Regions from separate parts of the Mus musculus genome. Here region 2 is reported to be linked to region 1. The links are microRNA targets in miRTarBase. Many come from high-throughput screens and were not tested one by one. Region 1 holds a microRNA gene; the other region holds the end of a gene's coding sequence.
What was found. Region 1 holds the annotated microRNA mmu-miR-96-5p (UUUGGCACUAGCACAUUUUUGCU, at 2,640-2,662, shown strand). A microRNA usually pairs through its seed, bases 2 to 8, with sites in the 3' UTR of a target mRNA and lowers its output. Matches are read on the target gene's strand: a 7mer-m8 pairs with bases 2 to 8, a 7mer-A1 pairs with bases 2 to 7 and ends in A, and an 8mer does both.

Region 1 (7,117 bases):
TGATCCGTGCTGGGCCAATCGCTGGTGGGAAGATTCGCAACAGAGACTCTAGATTCGATGTGTAGGGGTTGATGGTGACAGTTGCTGAATGTTAGCAAAAGATCCCTAAAGACTCCACCCGAACCACTCACCTCTAGGGAGCTCTGGTACTGAGAATGGTAGGCTGGGGGGGGGGGGCAGGGGGAAGAGGCACATATAGGTCTGACTACAGAGCAAGAGCCCAGGGAAAGACCCCCGACCCCAATACCTGGCCAAGGGAGGGATGATTCTTCAAAGAGACAAGACATGCCTAAGGGGAGTAGGGCTAGGGGAGGGAGACCTGGCAGAGGATGTAGGATACACACTCACCCAGGAGGACATCCTGTGCCCCTGCCAGTCCTCCTTACACACCAACTCTGATGCTCTAATTGTTCACACCTACCAGGCTGGGACACAACCTTTTCCCACAGTCAGAAGAGGAATTTCTTAGCCTTTAATCTCAAGGTCAGGGTTTTGACCTACACAGAGAGCATAAGAGACTGTCCTGCCAAAGCCCCGTCATGGCTCCCCGTTGTAGAATACCAGGGTTGTTTTTGCAGAACTCCACTGTCCCCGTTTCAGGAGAGCCTATTTTCCTCTGACCCAGGACAGGTTCTGCTTCAACTAAGGTCTAGGTATTCCTGCTCTGCTGTGTGTTGGGTGGACTCTGGCTGTGGCCATGGGTGTGGCCCTGCCTGGGTACCGCAGCATTCTCTTCCTGCCGCATTTGAATTAGGAGGGGCAAGGCAGCGCAGGGAGGAGCCTCATTCAGCGGACTAGAACTGGATGCTGAAGGGGTGTTTGGCTCTGTAAGCAGTTTCCTGCTCTCCATCCCCTCCAGTTACAGAAGAGGAAGATGTAGGCAAAAGGGCGGGCATGCCAGGCACTTGATCCGACAGGGCTATTCTCTTATGGTGCTTCATTCCTTCCTGGGTGCTCCAGACTGAGTTCTCAGGAGGACATTGGTACCCTGAGTGTGTCTCAATCTTCCCAAGGCCCTTCCCCCATTGCTACTCCTCTGTTCCATTGAAATGGGGGGGGGAAAAAGATTTTAGAATACTGTTTCCAAAATATCCTGCATCTTTAGAGAAAGCTGTTTCCAAGCACAACTCTAAATAGCTTCTCCTTCCCAGCCTCACATTCCCCAGGTTCATATTAAACTGTAGGTTTCCTCGTGGGCCACAAAGCTCCATTTCAGGGGACTCCTTAGTGATTCTGAGAAACACTCTGAGCCACATAGAACACACCAGTAACTATAGCTGTCCACCCCCGCTTGACTCCTCTAAGTTCAGAGATTTATAGTGGGGGAAACTGAGGCCACAGGCCAGGGAGTGTCCATCTTACCAAGATGAAATGGCCTTTTGGGAGGTGAGCTAGAGCTCCAGAGTCAGCAAATAGTGAGTTTTCGGTCAAAGCCCCACAAGTATGTTACCAAGTCCAGGACTGATAACAGGTTTACAGTGGGGTTAGCCTGGAGTAAAGGCTTATAAGGTTTCTGAGCTGGAGAACTCTATCTGACCCCTTCCCGTATATTTCCCTTTTCCGTCTACCTTTCCCTGTGGATTCCAGGCCGGCCTAAGGGTAGGCTGAGCCTGTGTTGCCTCTTCCACAGTGTCTCCAGCTCTCATGCCCTGGGCACCAGCTCCAGAGAGACTTACCCTCCCTCTTTCCTCCATCCCCAGGGCACCTGGTACCAGAGGCAAGGGCCTCCATCCTGCCTTCTCTCGTGGCAGCCGCTGTAGCAACCACTGACGCAACCGCCCCAGCCCTCCCTTGGCTCTGTAGCCTCTACCGTCCTCCAAAGTACTCTCAGAACCTTCCAGAGGCTGCTTCCGAGGGCTCCTGCCAGAAACAGTTCACCCTGGCTCCTTCCGAGCTGCCTCCTTGTCTGAAGGAGCCCCCTGCCCTGATCCTGGCCCTGGTCAAGCCACAAAGGTGCCCATCGGGGACACTTTGCAGTCCTGCCTTCTGGGCCTCTGCTTGTGTCACTGGGCAAGCCAGGACTGCTGGCCTCTGTGCCGAGAGGCCATGAGAAGCACATTGGATGTTCTTGTCACTGCCCACTTGGGAGTAGGTGAGGTCCAGTGCCCTAGGTTATGAGGATCTGGCAACTGCTTGCTGACCTTGGCAGGAAGGTGGCTTGTTTGGGTGATGGTATTGGGATGTGATGGGAAACTCTGCTGCCCTCTGCAAGTCCAAGAAATCAGACTTTCTCCTCACTTGTCCTTGTCTTCTTGAAGGACAATTTGGGCTAGTGCACAACAACGAGCTGGTGAAGAGCTGGTGAGGAGGGTTGCTAAACTGCGGATGACAGCAGTGGGGGTGGGGTGGGGGGAGTAGGTTGTAGGACCTCCAGGAGAAGGCAGCTGACCCCTCTGCAGGGTCTGCAGGCTGGAGAGTGTGACTCCTGTCCTGTGTATGGCACTGGTAGAATTCACTGTGAACAGTCTCAGTCAGTGAATTACCGAAGGGCCATAAACAGAGCAGAGACAGATCCGCGAGCACCTTGGAGCTCCTCACCCCTTTCTGCCTAGACCTCTGTTTCCAGGGGTGCCAGGGTACAAAGACCTCCTCTGCTCCTTCCCCAGAGGGCCTGTTCCAGTACCATCTGCTTGGCCGATTTTGGCACTAGCACATTTTTGCTTGTGTCTCTCCGCTGTGAGCAATCATGTGTAGTGCCAATATGGGAAAAGCGGGCTGCTGCGGCCACGTTCACCTCCCCCGGCATCCCAGGGTCTGTGTGTCTCACTGGCTCCCTGGCCCATCTGGCTTACTGCTGGGTGAGGAGGGTACAGCCCTACCCTGGTGAACAGCCAGATCACCTTTCACTGCCTGAGGCCAGAGTGGAGTCGGAGCTGGGCAATCCGAGCTGGGCCAACAGATGGAGATGCTTGCGGTGGGGGTGGGGGTCGCCATCTGTAGGGCCAGCTTCTGTGATGCCCTGTTGGGCTCCTCCTCCTTAAGGCGAGCCGTCTTTGGGGTCTAGCCTTCTGCTACAGGATTCCAAGGAAGCAATTCCAAGCAATGGGATATCCTGTGCTCAGCATGAGTGTTTTATGAGGGTGGCTGTCCCTAGAGCCTACCATCAGTGGCTTACCTTAGGTCAGTGATGAGAGGGATACTAGTGTGGAGGGCTGGGAATGTTCTGGAAGGCTCAGTTGTGGCCTTTCCATCCACCCACTAGTGTTGGTTTCCTGCATCCTTGGAGTCCCTGTGACTTAATGTCCCTAAGCTGCCCATATATGTGTTATGTAACATTGTGTATGTAAGCTCTGATCTCGAACAGCTGCACCAGTTTGTAAAGAGTCATCTCACAGATGGAGGGACAGGCTGGAGGTCCATTAGTAGTGAAGTAGGGTCGCTACCTCTCTTCAGTCACGACAATGTATTGACCTCCAGTGGCCTTGCTCTGTGGAGAGTGCTCACACACCCCTGCCCCCTGTGGCTGGGTGAATCTTGGCTCTGACCCTTCATATATCCCTGGCCTTCAAAATGAGTTAGATCTGGACCTGGTCCATAGGGCTTAGAAGAGCCCACCCACCAGCCAGGCTCTTGGGTGAAGCCCTGGTGGTTAGCAGGCAGTGAGAGCTGAGCTGACTAAGCTGGTCCACTGACCATCTGGTAGCCATCATATCTGAAGTTACTGGGCCAGCCCCTAATGAGACTGCTTCTCCCTGGGGAAGGGGAACTTCTTGCAAGAGCCAGTTACTCAGTCCAGTTACAGTTAGGTGGCCAAGCTAAAGAGGGCTGGGGCCAGGCCAGGGGAATGTGTACAGTTGAGTCTGGAAGTTAGAGATCAACCAATCCAGTTGACTGCTCACCAGGAACGTGCCTGAGCATCCAGGGCCGCCCGCCTGCTTGGGTGCCCTGAGAGTTGTGTTGGATAGCGAGGACATTTAGACCTACTACTGCCAACTGGGGGCTTCCATAAGTCTCTGGGGTATGGCACTAATGTCCTGTGCAGAAGGCTATCTGAGCACTTGCGGGAAAAGGAAGGACAGGAAGAGACCTCACCGCCTCACCCTGGTGAGGTCTCTGTTTCGGGTCTTGCCTCTGTGAACCCAACTCTGCTCCTGTCCAGCACTCAGGGGGCCACTCAGAGCTGGGTCCCTCTAACCAAAGCAGTCCTCAGACCCCTAGTGGTCCTGCCTCTCACACTGGCCTTGGTGGAGGCTTTGCTGAGACCTCACTAGCAGGTGTTGGTATGGCCCAGTTCTATACTTCTTTCCAGGCTCAGGGCTCCACCCCTCTGGGGCCTGCATTCCCAAAGGATGACCACTGGCCATAGCTTTCTGGTTCTCCTCATCTAGCCTGTTCTCGACCTGGGTGAAAGTTCACCTATAGTAGTGACTGCCGGTGAGCAGAGGCCACAAGGCTGGTTGGACTCCGCAGAAAATCAGCTTCCAGAGGACCATGCTGGTGAGGGTGCGGTAGGAGGGGAGGGCTCACCCTGTCAAGCAGGACCAGTTTCTTCCTGGCTGTCTGATCCTGCGGAAGGATTTACCCTTACCCTCTCAGGGCAGTTGGTGCAGTTTAATCCACTGGGGACCTTCTTATATTGTTCGGGCTCGGTGGCTCCTAGGTGCCTGAGTTGCTGCCTCCTGGGTAGGCTCCTTGCCTCATTGCCTGGTGTTGGGGTTGCCTGGGCCAGCCGCTCCCCAGAGTCCCTGTGAGGTGGATTATTCCAGACTTTCGCCCTTCCCCCACCCCTGCATTTGCTTATTCAATCCAGGCCATTATCCGGGTCCCTGCCCCAGCTCTGCAGTCCTCTGGCTCTTGGAAATGCGATCTGGCTCCATTGATCGCAGGCAGGCGGGGCTGCTCGCTCCCAGCCTAGCTAGTGTGGCCCGAGATTGAGCAGTTAGGGGTGCTGACAGGATAGGACCCTCCCCGCTCACACTGGAGTGGAGGGAGTGACCCACTCAACTCACCAGTGGCTTGCCTTAACACTTTATAATGTGATAAAAATGTGTGGCCTGCCTTTGGGAGGTATGTGGCCAAGAAACCAAGGTCCTGCTTGTGTCCCCACTGGGGACACACTCTAGGTCAAGGTTTCAAGGAGCTTCCTTGCCAAGCAGATCACCCCAGCCCCTGAACTCAGTACTGGGATCACAGATGTGGCCCACAATTCTGGCCCAGCTATAAAGCAAGTTTTTCTCTGGGCAGTGGAGTCATCTCAGCACCCAAGCTTAGGCCACTGGCAGTGACCAGCTTGAGTGTCCAGGGTTCGTCTGCATCTCTGCCCTTCCAAAACATCATCTTTGGGTCCTTCATCCTCCCTGCCCTGCAGGAGGACAGAGGGACCGGTGGCATTTCCATCACTGGCCCTGCCAGCCAGCAGTTCCTCTAGATTTATGGAAATGAATCCATGGGTGGTTTGGGGGCAAAGAAGTGTACCATCTTTGGGGTTCCTTGAAGGCTGCAGGGGTGTGTGTCTTTTTGGAAGGGATGGGTAAGGAAATCTCTGCACTTGGGAGAATGCTGTGTGGATGTGCTAATGCAGCTGTGTTCCGCTTGGCTGGCCCTGCTAGACTGCAGTGATGGCTGTCTAGACTCTCCAGAGAAGGTCTTAGCCTAGGGTTCTTCCTCCCCAGCCTCAGGGAGGAGACCACAGGCCGGGCAGTGGTTTGCCTGTGGCTTGACAAGGAAGTGGGATCTATGCATTGACCTTTTACCTCCCTCCCGGTGGGGGGGTGGGACAGCTGAGGAACTTTAGGCTCTGGGGAATGTCAGGAAGGGATTAAACAGGATGCCACCTGGGGGCCTTGGTAGATGGCAAGCTGGCCCCATGCCACTCTCTTCCTTGGTTACCAAGCAGGGGACTCCCTGACCCAGAGTGCACCCATTCCCAAGCTCCCACTGGCAGGTTCCTGGGGTACAGTGCCTTTGAGAGCAGTGGCTATGGCTCCATCACTGCCTAATGCCCCTACACAGGGACTGTGGGTCGTGGGGAGGGGGGGAGGTGGTCGTGGGGTGGGGGGGAGGTGGCTGGAGGGCAGGCAGGGCTTGAGGAGGTTTTACACTGGAACAGGACCATACAGGCCGAAGGACCATAGTCTGGACCTTGTGTTAACTGTGGGAAGAGCGCCCTCCTAAAACCACCCTAACTGCTTCTTCTTCAGCATAGGCTTACTGGTCTGGCTGCTGGAGGCCTCCCACCATTTTTGGCAATGGTAGAACTCACACCGGTAAGGTAATGGGACCCGGTGGTTCTAGACTTGCCAACTATGGTGTAAGTGCTGAGCTGCTGAAGGTCTGCACCGTGCCGGAACCTGCCGATCACCAGGAAGGAGAGGGGACTCCTGTCTCCAGACCACCAGGCAGTGGCAGAGGGTGGGCGCAGCTGGAAGTGACCCTTAATGTTTCCCTGCGCCCCCCTGAGGTCACAAGTCATGAAGTCGACCTCTTCTCGGTGAAAAGGACTTGGGATCCAGCCTTGCTCCAGGGTGGCCCTCACAGGGATGGTGGGAATCCTAAGCTTGGTGAGGGAGAGACAGATGGCTTTTCCTCTCCCGCCCTCAACCCCTGAGGGCTGTTCTTCAGGTAGGTTCTGAGGCCACAAGGAAGTGTCTTCTGGTCTATGCGATCCCCTTTTGGAGCTTCTGGCTGGGGTGTGAGGGTGGAGATGGCATACTCTCCACTCAGACATCTAGGAATCTTGCCCAGGCCCTAGAAGGGTAAAGGAATGAAGGCTCCCATATGGACGGAGTGTGTTGAGGTCATCTGGAGCTGCGGCCTCTGTGTTAGCCCCTCCAGCTCGCTGCTTTGTGGCTAGGCTGCTGACACCTGAGCACAGAGGGGCGCAGTGAGAGTGTGCTGACAGTCTAGACTGCAGGTTCCTACAACTCAACTCTGGAGTTAGGGCCAGTGACTATCCTAGATGGAGGACCTTGGTGGGGTGGGCCTGTTTGGGAAGTCTGGGCCCTAGGGTTGATTTCCTGTCTCTATAGGTAACCAAGGCAGCTGCCCTGGGAGCTACACATGTTTGTGACTCTGCAGATGCACGACTGTATGTGTGACCTTAGTTAAAGTCTTTCTCTCTCTAAGGACACCCCAGGACCTCAGTTATTTTTTTTTTTAATATTTATTTATTTTATTT
Region 2 (7,117 bases), not on the chromosome of region 1:
AACAGAAGGAAGTCTCAGTAGGAGGATGTAGCTGGCTAGCTATTTCCAGGGAGAGACAGACAAAAACAAACAAACAAACAAACAAACAAACAAACAAAACCCTGCCCCTTTCCTCAGTGAATTCACTAAACAGGGGTCTCCCCTAGATCTTGGGAAAGAAAATCTTAGCTCTTCACAAGTTGTGAAGATTGGGTTTTATTTTTTGGTTTTTTGGTTTTTGTCACCTTGACACAATCTAGGGTCATCTGAGAAGGAGCCACAACTGAGAAAATGTCACCATCTGATTGGTCTATAGGCAAGTCTGTTGAGGCATTTTCTTGATTAATAACTGATGTGAGGGGGTTCAGATTACTGTGGTCAGTACCACTTCAGGGCAGGGGGTCTCATATAAAAAGTCAGACTGGAAAAGCCCTGGGTAGCCAGCCAATAAGCAGCACTCATCCGTGGCTTCCGCTTCAGTTCCTGCCTCCAGGTTCCTGCTTTGAGCTTCCGCCCTGATGTCCTTCCATAATGAACTGGGATGTCCAAGTGGAAGACTAATAAACCCTTTCTTCTGTGAGTCGTTTGGAACCTCCTTGGTTGACTTAAGAAGATCAAGAAGATCCAGTCTAAAAGTGGTAGGAACGCTTCTGGCTTTGGGCCCTGGATACTTTGGGCTGTGGCTCTAAGCATCCGTGCACACACACTCATTGACTCCCTTGTTCTTGACTTTGGATGTGGCACTCTGACATTAACTGTCATCTGCCAGGCTAACACTGTGAATAGCAGTGAATGATACTATCATGTGACCAGCAGCTTCAAGCTCCTGCCGCCATGTCTTCCCTACAGGGAGGACCACCTGTACCTGGGAGCTGAAATAAACTCTTTCTCCCCTCAGCTGCCTTCTGCCAAGGTGTTTTATCACAGCAGCAAAAATGAAATGAAAACACTTGGCCAACATTTATCCTCTGGTGAAGCCTGGATGGGCAAGATTGTCCTTGTGCACAGCCATCATTCTATGGGGACCTCAGACTTACCTGCTTCCCTCCTCTTAGGCCTTTGCCAACCAGACGTCATTTGTCATCTTATTGAAGTGTAACACGGTAGCCACTGATAATAGTTCAAATGAGAAACCCTCAAATGTACTTGTTCAACAAAAATTCATTGAATGGCTGTTACATTCCAGCATCTGAGGAGGCACTATGGCTAAAGTGATGGTGGTGGTGGTGGTGGTGGTGGTGGTGGTGGTGGTGGTGATGGTGGTGATGGTGATGGTGATAGTGATGGTGGTGGTGATGATGATGGTGGTGTTGGTGGTGGTGGTGGTGGTGATGGTGGTGGTGATGGTGGTGGTGGTGGTGGTGATGGTGGTGGTGGTGGTGGTGATGGTGGTGGTGATGGTGGTGGTGGTGGTGGTGGTGGTGATGGTGATGATGGTGGTGGTGATGGTGATGGTGATGGTGGTGGTGGTGATGATGATGATGGTAGCAGTGACAATAGCTAGCACGAACTGGGCACTGTCCACAGCCTAAGCTCTACTCTGTGCAATTAAATATACCACCCAAACTTAGGACATCTTCACCGTATCCCTCTGAGGGCAGGTCTCATGATTACTTCTGTACTATGGAGGGCACAGAAAGATGAAGTGGTTTCCCTTGAGTCACACAGTAAATAAATGGCAGAGACCAGACAGCAACCTAGAGCCAGACTTTCGATCATAACAGTTCCAGGAGAGGCAAGACTCAAATTCAGCAGATGTTCTCATGGAAGCCCTGGCATGTCTTGTGGGTGCCTTGGGAGGCAGGCTGCAGGATTGCAGGCCAGACAGCCCCTCAGTGTGACTGAGCTCCCTTGGAACATGCACATGTGAGCACACAGTCACTGGCTGCAGCTGGACTTGAGCTCTGACCATGGCGATTGTTCCTGAGGCTTGGCTCTGGCCAACCTGTTCTGCAGTCTTCAGGACACTGCTGCCTGTGAGCTTTCTCTCTGAGTGCAGGAAGGCTCTTCTTCCACATGTGAGTTTTTCCGACCAGGAAAGGCATTCTGGCCTAGAGAGATCCTTCCCCAGAGAGAGGTTTTCCTGCAGAGGGGGATAATCCAGGAAGGTGGGTCTGTTCTTAGACAATATCCTCCTCATTTATAGGAAGTGAGGTCCTATTGGGCTCCCTGGGCTCTCATGCCATGTGTTTGTGACTAGCAGGTGAGCAGGTAGGAACACACAAACGGAGGAAGTGTGAGCTGCAAGAAAATACAGGATGTAGCCAGTGTTAGTTCCACAGCGTGAGGCCGGCCCTGAGTCTGGGGACAAGACCAGGAAGTGACTCCTGCATGCCTCAGGATCTCAGCTTTCTGGAACAACACACAGAAGTGGGTTCGGGGCCAGTCCTGTGTACGTGGCACTGTGAGCATCATTTCCTGGCTAGAAAGAGGGGCTTCCTTGGTCAGCAGGAAGGAGAAGGTTGACTCACAGGTGAGGGTGATTTGTAAACTGTAGGTTCAGACCGTGTGACAGCCACTGTTGCTCAGGGTGTCAGCCCAGCAAACACAACAAACATCAAGGCAGGTGATGAAATCACAAGGGCACTGGAATGCTGATGTTGGTGTGCCGTGTGCCGACTAAGGATGTTGGGGAAGGATGTGGAACCAAGCCCAGCCTCCTAGCACATGGCAGCACCTCCTGGGAGGACACAAGCTGTCCCGATCTCTCAGATCCTTGAGAGACTTTGCCTGCTCCATGTGAAGGCCCCAGACGGGGCAAGCTCTTTTATCAGCCTGGAAACACCTGTTTCATTCATTCTTGTACTCGATCAGCCAGTGTTTACTGGACACCCATTGTGCACTGGGTCCTGCTGTAAAAGGAGTGATTACAACTGCAGTAAACACGATAAAAGAGATGTGCACGGCGCTATAAGGGACTGTGATCGGGATATATAAGATAGAGAAGCAGCTATATAAGGGCCCATGATCGAGATAAATCAGCCGACCTGGTAAAATTAAGGAAGTGCTGATAATTATGTTGGGATCGAAAGAACGAACAGACTTTAACTAAGGAAAGGAACAGTTGTAGCTCAGACATGAGGAACAGGCTGTACAGACTGCGGCATGGAGCAGAGTCTATGTGTCTGTCAGATCTGGCCACGGAGTAAGTTGTGCTGAAGCTCAGAATCTTCAAGCCACAAGCGTGCTTCTTGTCCTCAGTGCTGAGTCAGAACCCTGGCTAAACTCAGCCAGCTGCCTGTAACTACCCGGACCAGACTGTGAGTGGCCTTAGCAGGTCCTTGAGTACCTAGCCTGTGGTCCTAAACTCTCTGGCAAGTTACCCTGGAGCTTACCTCACGTGGCAGAGGAGACAGCCTCTCTGTTACCCCTGCAGCAGTCTCATTTTACTGACCAAAACAAGGCACTTGGCTAAACCCAAAGCAGGTGTGAGCAGACACAGTTCATGGCCCACGGTTAGAGGGAGGCGTGTGTCAATGGATGGCGGCCGTGGCTGCAGAAGTCTACCCCAGAGTGTTCAAGGGCTGAAATAAACACGGAGATAAGAGAATGCAGCCCGAGAAGAACAGAGGCTGGCATGTGCAGGGCTACAGAGAACAGCGCGAGGATCTGGCCTTATCCTAAAAGTGGGAGACTTTCCAAAATAAAAGTCTACTGCAGAGCTGGGGTGTGGCCGAGTTAGTAGTATGCTTGCCTAGTGGGCATGTAGCCATGGTGTCAATCCCAGCATCCCATAATACCAAGTGTGACAACACATGCCCATAGCCCCACCACTTAGGAGGTTGAGAATCAAACATTGAAATCATCCTTGGCTACCTACTGACTTTGAGGCCAGCCTGGACTACATGAGATTTTGGGGTTTGAGAGTGTACTGGCTGATTTTGTGTGTCAACTTGACACAGGTTGGAGTTATCACAGAGAAAGGAGCTTCAGTTGGGGAAGTGCCTCCATGAGATCCAGTTGTGGGGCATTTTCTCAGTTGGTGATCAAGGTGGGAGGGCTCCTTGTGGGTGGTACTATCCCTGGGCTGGTAGTCTTGGGTTCTACAAGAAAGCAAGTTGAGCAAGCCAGGGGAAGCAAGCCAGTAAGTAACATCCCTCCATGGCCTCTGTATCAGCTCCTGCTTCCTACCCTGTGAGTTTCAGTCTTGACTTCCTTTAGTGATGAGCAAGCAAAGTGATTGTGTAAGCTGAATAAACCCTTTCCTCCCTGTCTTAGTCAGGGTTTCTCTTCCTGCACAAACATCACGACCAAGAAACAAGTTGGGGAGGAAAGGGTTTATTCAGCTTACACTTCCATACTGCTCTTCATCACCAAAGGATGCAGGACTGGAACTCAAGCAGGTCAGGAAGCAGGAGCTGATGCAGAGGCCATGGAGGGATGTTCAATACTGGGTCACCTATCTAACCAGGCAGATGGGGCAGTTTCTCTTTAGTTCTTAAATCATGGTAAGACACTCCATTTTCACTTTTTAAGAAATCTCATGTTATGCATGTGTCTTGGGGTGAAGACTGGGGGAGTTTTTTTAGAAGAGCCTGCTAGATCGTCAAGGAAAGATGGAGAGTGAACACAGCAGTTTGGCACTGGTGTGCACCAGAAACGTGGCTGGCTCCTGAGATAGCTTCCAGGCAGGTTTATAAGCAATCCTGCCCTGAGCCACCCGCACATTGGATGCCCCTTCTCCCCAGCTTCCGTGGCCCCCAAACCCTAACTAAAGGAGGAACCTCTGGTACAGGAGTTCTCCAGACCTGACTCTTTCCTTGGACTCTGAATCCCCAAGCGTCTTCTTAAATACTTTGAGCACCCTGACCAGAAGGTACCGCCCACCTCAGCTGATAAGAAGGCAACAGAGTTGAAAGCCCCAAGCCAGCATGGAGGGTGGCAAGAGACTTGAATGGCAGGACCTCCTCGAGGGAATGGAATGGGGACTTGGAGGCTCCTGGGTGATGGGGTAGGGGGTGGGGGTGGGGATCATAAGATCAAGGCAGAGCTTTTACATGTATGCAATCATCAAAGAACTTTAAAAGGATAGTCTAGGGTTTTTGTTTTTGTTTTGTTTTAATAAAATAGTTCTGAAAGGCAGGTTTGCCATTTAATTCCCACTTTTCCTTCTTCCTGTTCCCTCCTAAGCTGGGGATATCCAAATCCCATTGCTTACCATTCCGAAGACTTCCCCCAAATCACACTCAGGCAGTACTGCACATTTTTATTTACAGAAAACACAAATAAAGCATTTCAATTTTCACTCTGCAAACTGATCCACATTTTTTTTGTCTTTTTTTTTTTTTTTTGGCACAAAGAAATAGCACAGAGGGACCCCAAGATCAATCAGAAACTTCTAAGATTCATTAGCCATTACTGGTCTAGGGGTAGCCACAAGACTCAGACAGACAAGCTCACCACAAACCAAATAGAAAGTAGTCCCAATTCACCTCACAGTAAAACCCTGCTCACCACCAGGCAAGGGTGTGCAGGAGGGACGGGTGCCCTACTCCAGGGGAGGGAGCAGGAAGGGGGCGGGGATGGACCCTTTCCTTAAACTGGGGAGGTACGGCCCCTTTGTGTCCATCCTCTTACCTTGAGAAGACAATTGCAAAACTACCAGTTGTGTGCTGGGGTGCCTCTCATCGTGTGCCTGTGTGCACGTGTGAATGAATGTGCGATTGGGTGCCTGTAAACATCGTCCCCATCCTCACAGAGACCCAACATCCTTGTGTCTAAATGGGGTGGGGGGAGTAACCCCACATCATACGCCCTCTGCCCAGTGTTCCCCTCCAGAGACATAGTGCAAATTTCAGGGGCAAAAAGAGGCAGGAGAAAAGGAAGTGGGCAAGGTCAAGAAGGACACACAGATGGTGTGGGAGAGGCGAAGGAAAGGGGAGAGTGGGCAGGGGCTGGAATGGATACACAGACAGGGTGGGAGAGGGAGGAGGGAGATAAGGCAACAGTTAAAGACGGCCCATAGTAGGTCCGCGTCAGCAAAACCAGAGCCACCTGCCTCCCACCCCCACCACACCCAGGTCACAAAAAAGGGCGGAAGTCACGCTCCTCCACTAGGCTGATGGCCGGATTCTTCAGTTCCTCCTCTGAGTTGGCCATCTTGTAGCCCAGCTGAGCCAACACCTGCTGGCAGGCATTCTGGGCAAAGGCCACGATGTCATAGGAGAGGCGGAAGCGCCACTTCTCAGCTGTGGCTGCAGAGTTGCGCACTGTGCTGTATTTGTGCTTGCCCAAAGTGGGGTCGCCCCTCGTATTGTTCTGGATCCAGTGTGCCACGTGACTGTCCAGGGGGATACCCAGGAATTCGTAGATCTCTTCTGTCTTCTTCATTGGATTTCTGGCCAGGTCCTCATAACGTACCAGCATGTACTTGCCCTTGAGCCAGGAGGGCCGCATGAGGCCAGTAGACACAGAGCTAGAGAAATCCTCACACACAGTGGTCAGCTGTGTCACATCCAGGTTGTAGGGCTTCCTCCCTGTGCCGTACCAAAGCCGCCAGAGCCGGTAGGTGTCCCGGAAGGTCTCACTGCGAGAAGCCAAGATGCCACGAGGGTCTCGCACCAGCTGGATGACCTTGAGGTTCAGCCTGGGGTCTTCCACTAGAGCCCGCAAGTCATTCACCTCGGGCACCCGCACAGTCTTGATGGCCACATGACTGCGCTCACGACAAGCCTCGGCTGCCAAGGTCAGGTTCAGCAAGCCACACATGCGCACACAGTCCCCCTCCTCCAGGATCAGGTCAGAGGACCCTGGAGGGTCACACACTGGACGGGAGCAAAGGACCCTGCTGGCCCCTCTGCGGAAGACCCTGTTGGTGGTGTGGTTGACTGGAGGTGGCTTGATGTAGTTCTCCAGAAAGTAGAGATCACAATCATAAAGGCTCCTCAGCAGGTCCCGGCTGGCACCTAGCATGACCCTGCGATCTGCGGGGCTCTTGCCCTGGGTGAACCGGGGGATGAGCGTGTTTTGGACGTGATAGAGCGGCTCGAACAGGTAGAAGACATCCATGTGCTGGTTGAAGAGCTGGCCCACAAAGGAAGAGCCACTGCGTGTGGTGGCCAGGATCAGGACGTGGGTCTTCCTGGAGAGGTTGTAGGAGAAGGTAGGGCCCTCCTCACACAGCCGCTCTGCCAAGCCA

Region 2: miRTarBase lists Chst1 as a target of mmu-miR-96-5p. Seed matches in the 3' UTR shown: 8mer at 5,268-5,275.

Annotation. Positions count from the first base shown.
Region 1 is chr6:30,165,051-30,172,167 of GRCm38, reverse strand. Mir96 (microRNA 96) reads left to right here and starts at 2,617; the gene lies at 2,617-2,722. All of the region lies in intron 1 of Mirc35hg (microRNA cluster 35, host gene), which reads left to right. It overlaps Mir182 (microRNA 182), which reads left to right and starts at 6,176; the gene lies at 6,176-6,250. Mir183 (microRNA 183) reads left to right here and starts at 2,431; the gene lies at 2,431-2,500.
Region 2 is chr2:92,613,304-92,620,420 of GRCm38, reverse strand. It overlaps Chst1 (carbohydrate sulfotransferase 1), which reads right to left. Exons shown (of 3, transcript NM_023850.2): 3 at 5,169-7,117. The coding sequence ends at 6,001. Among named protein-coding and RNA genes, the nearest start is that of Chst1, 17 kb to the right of the region's middle.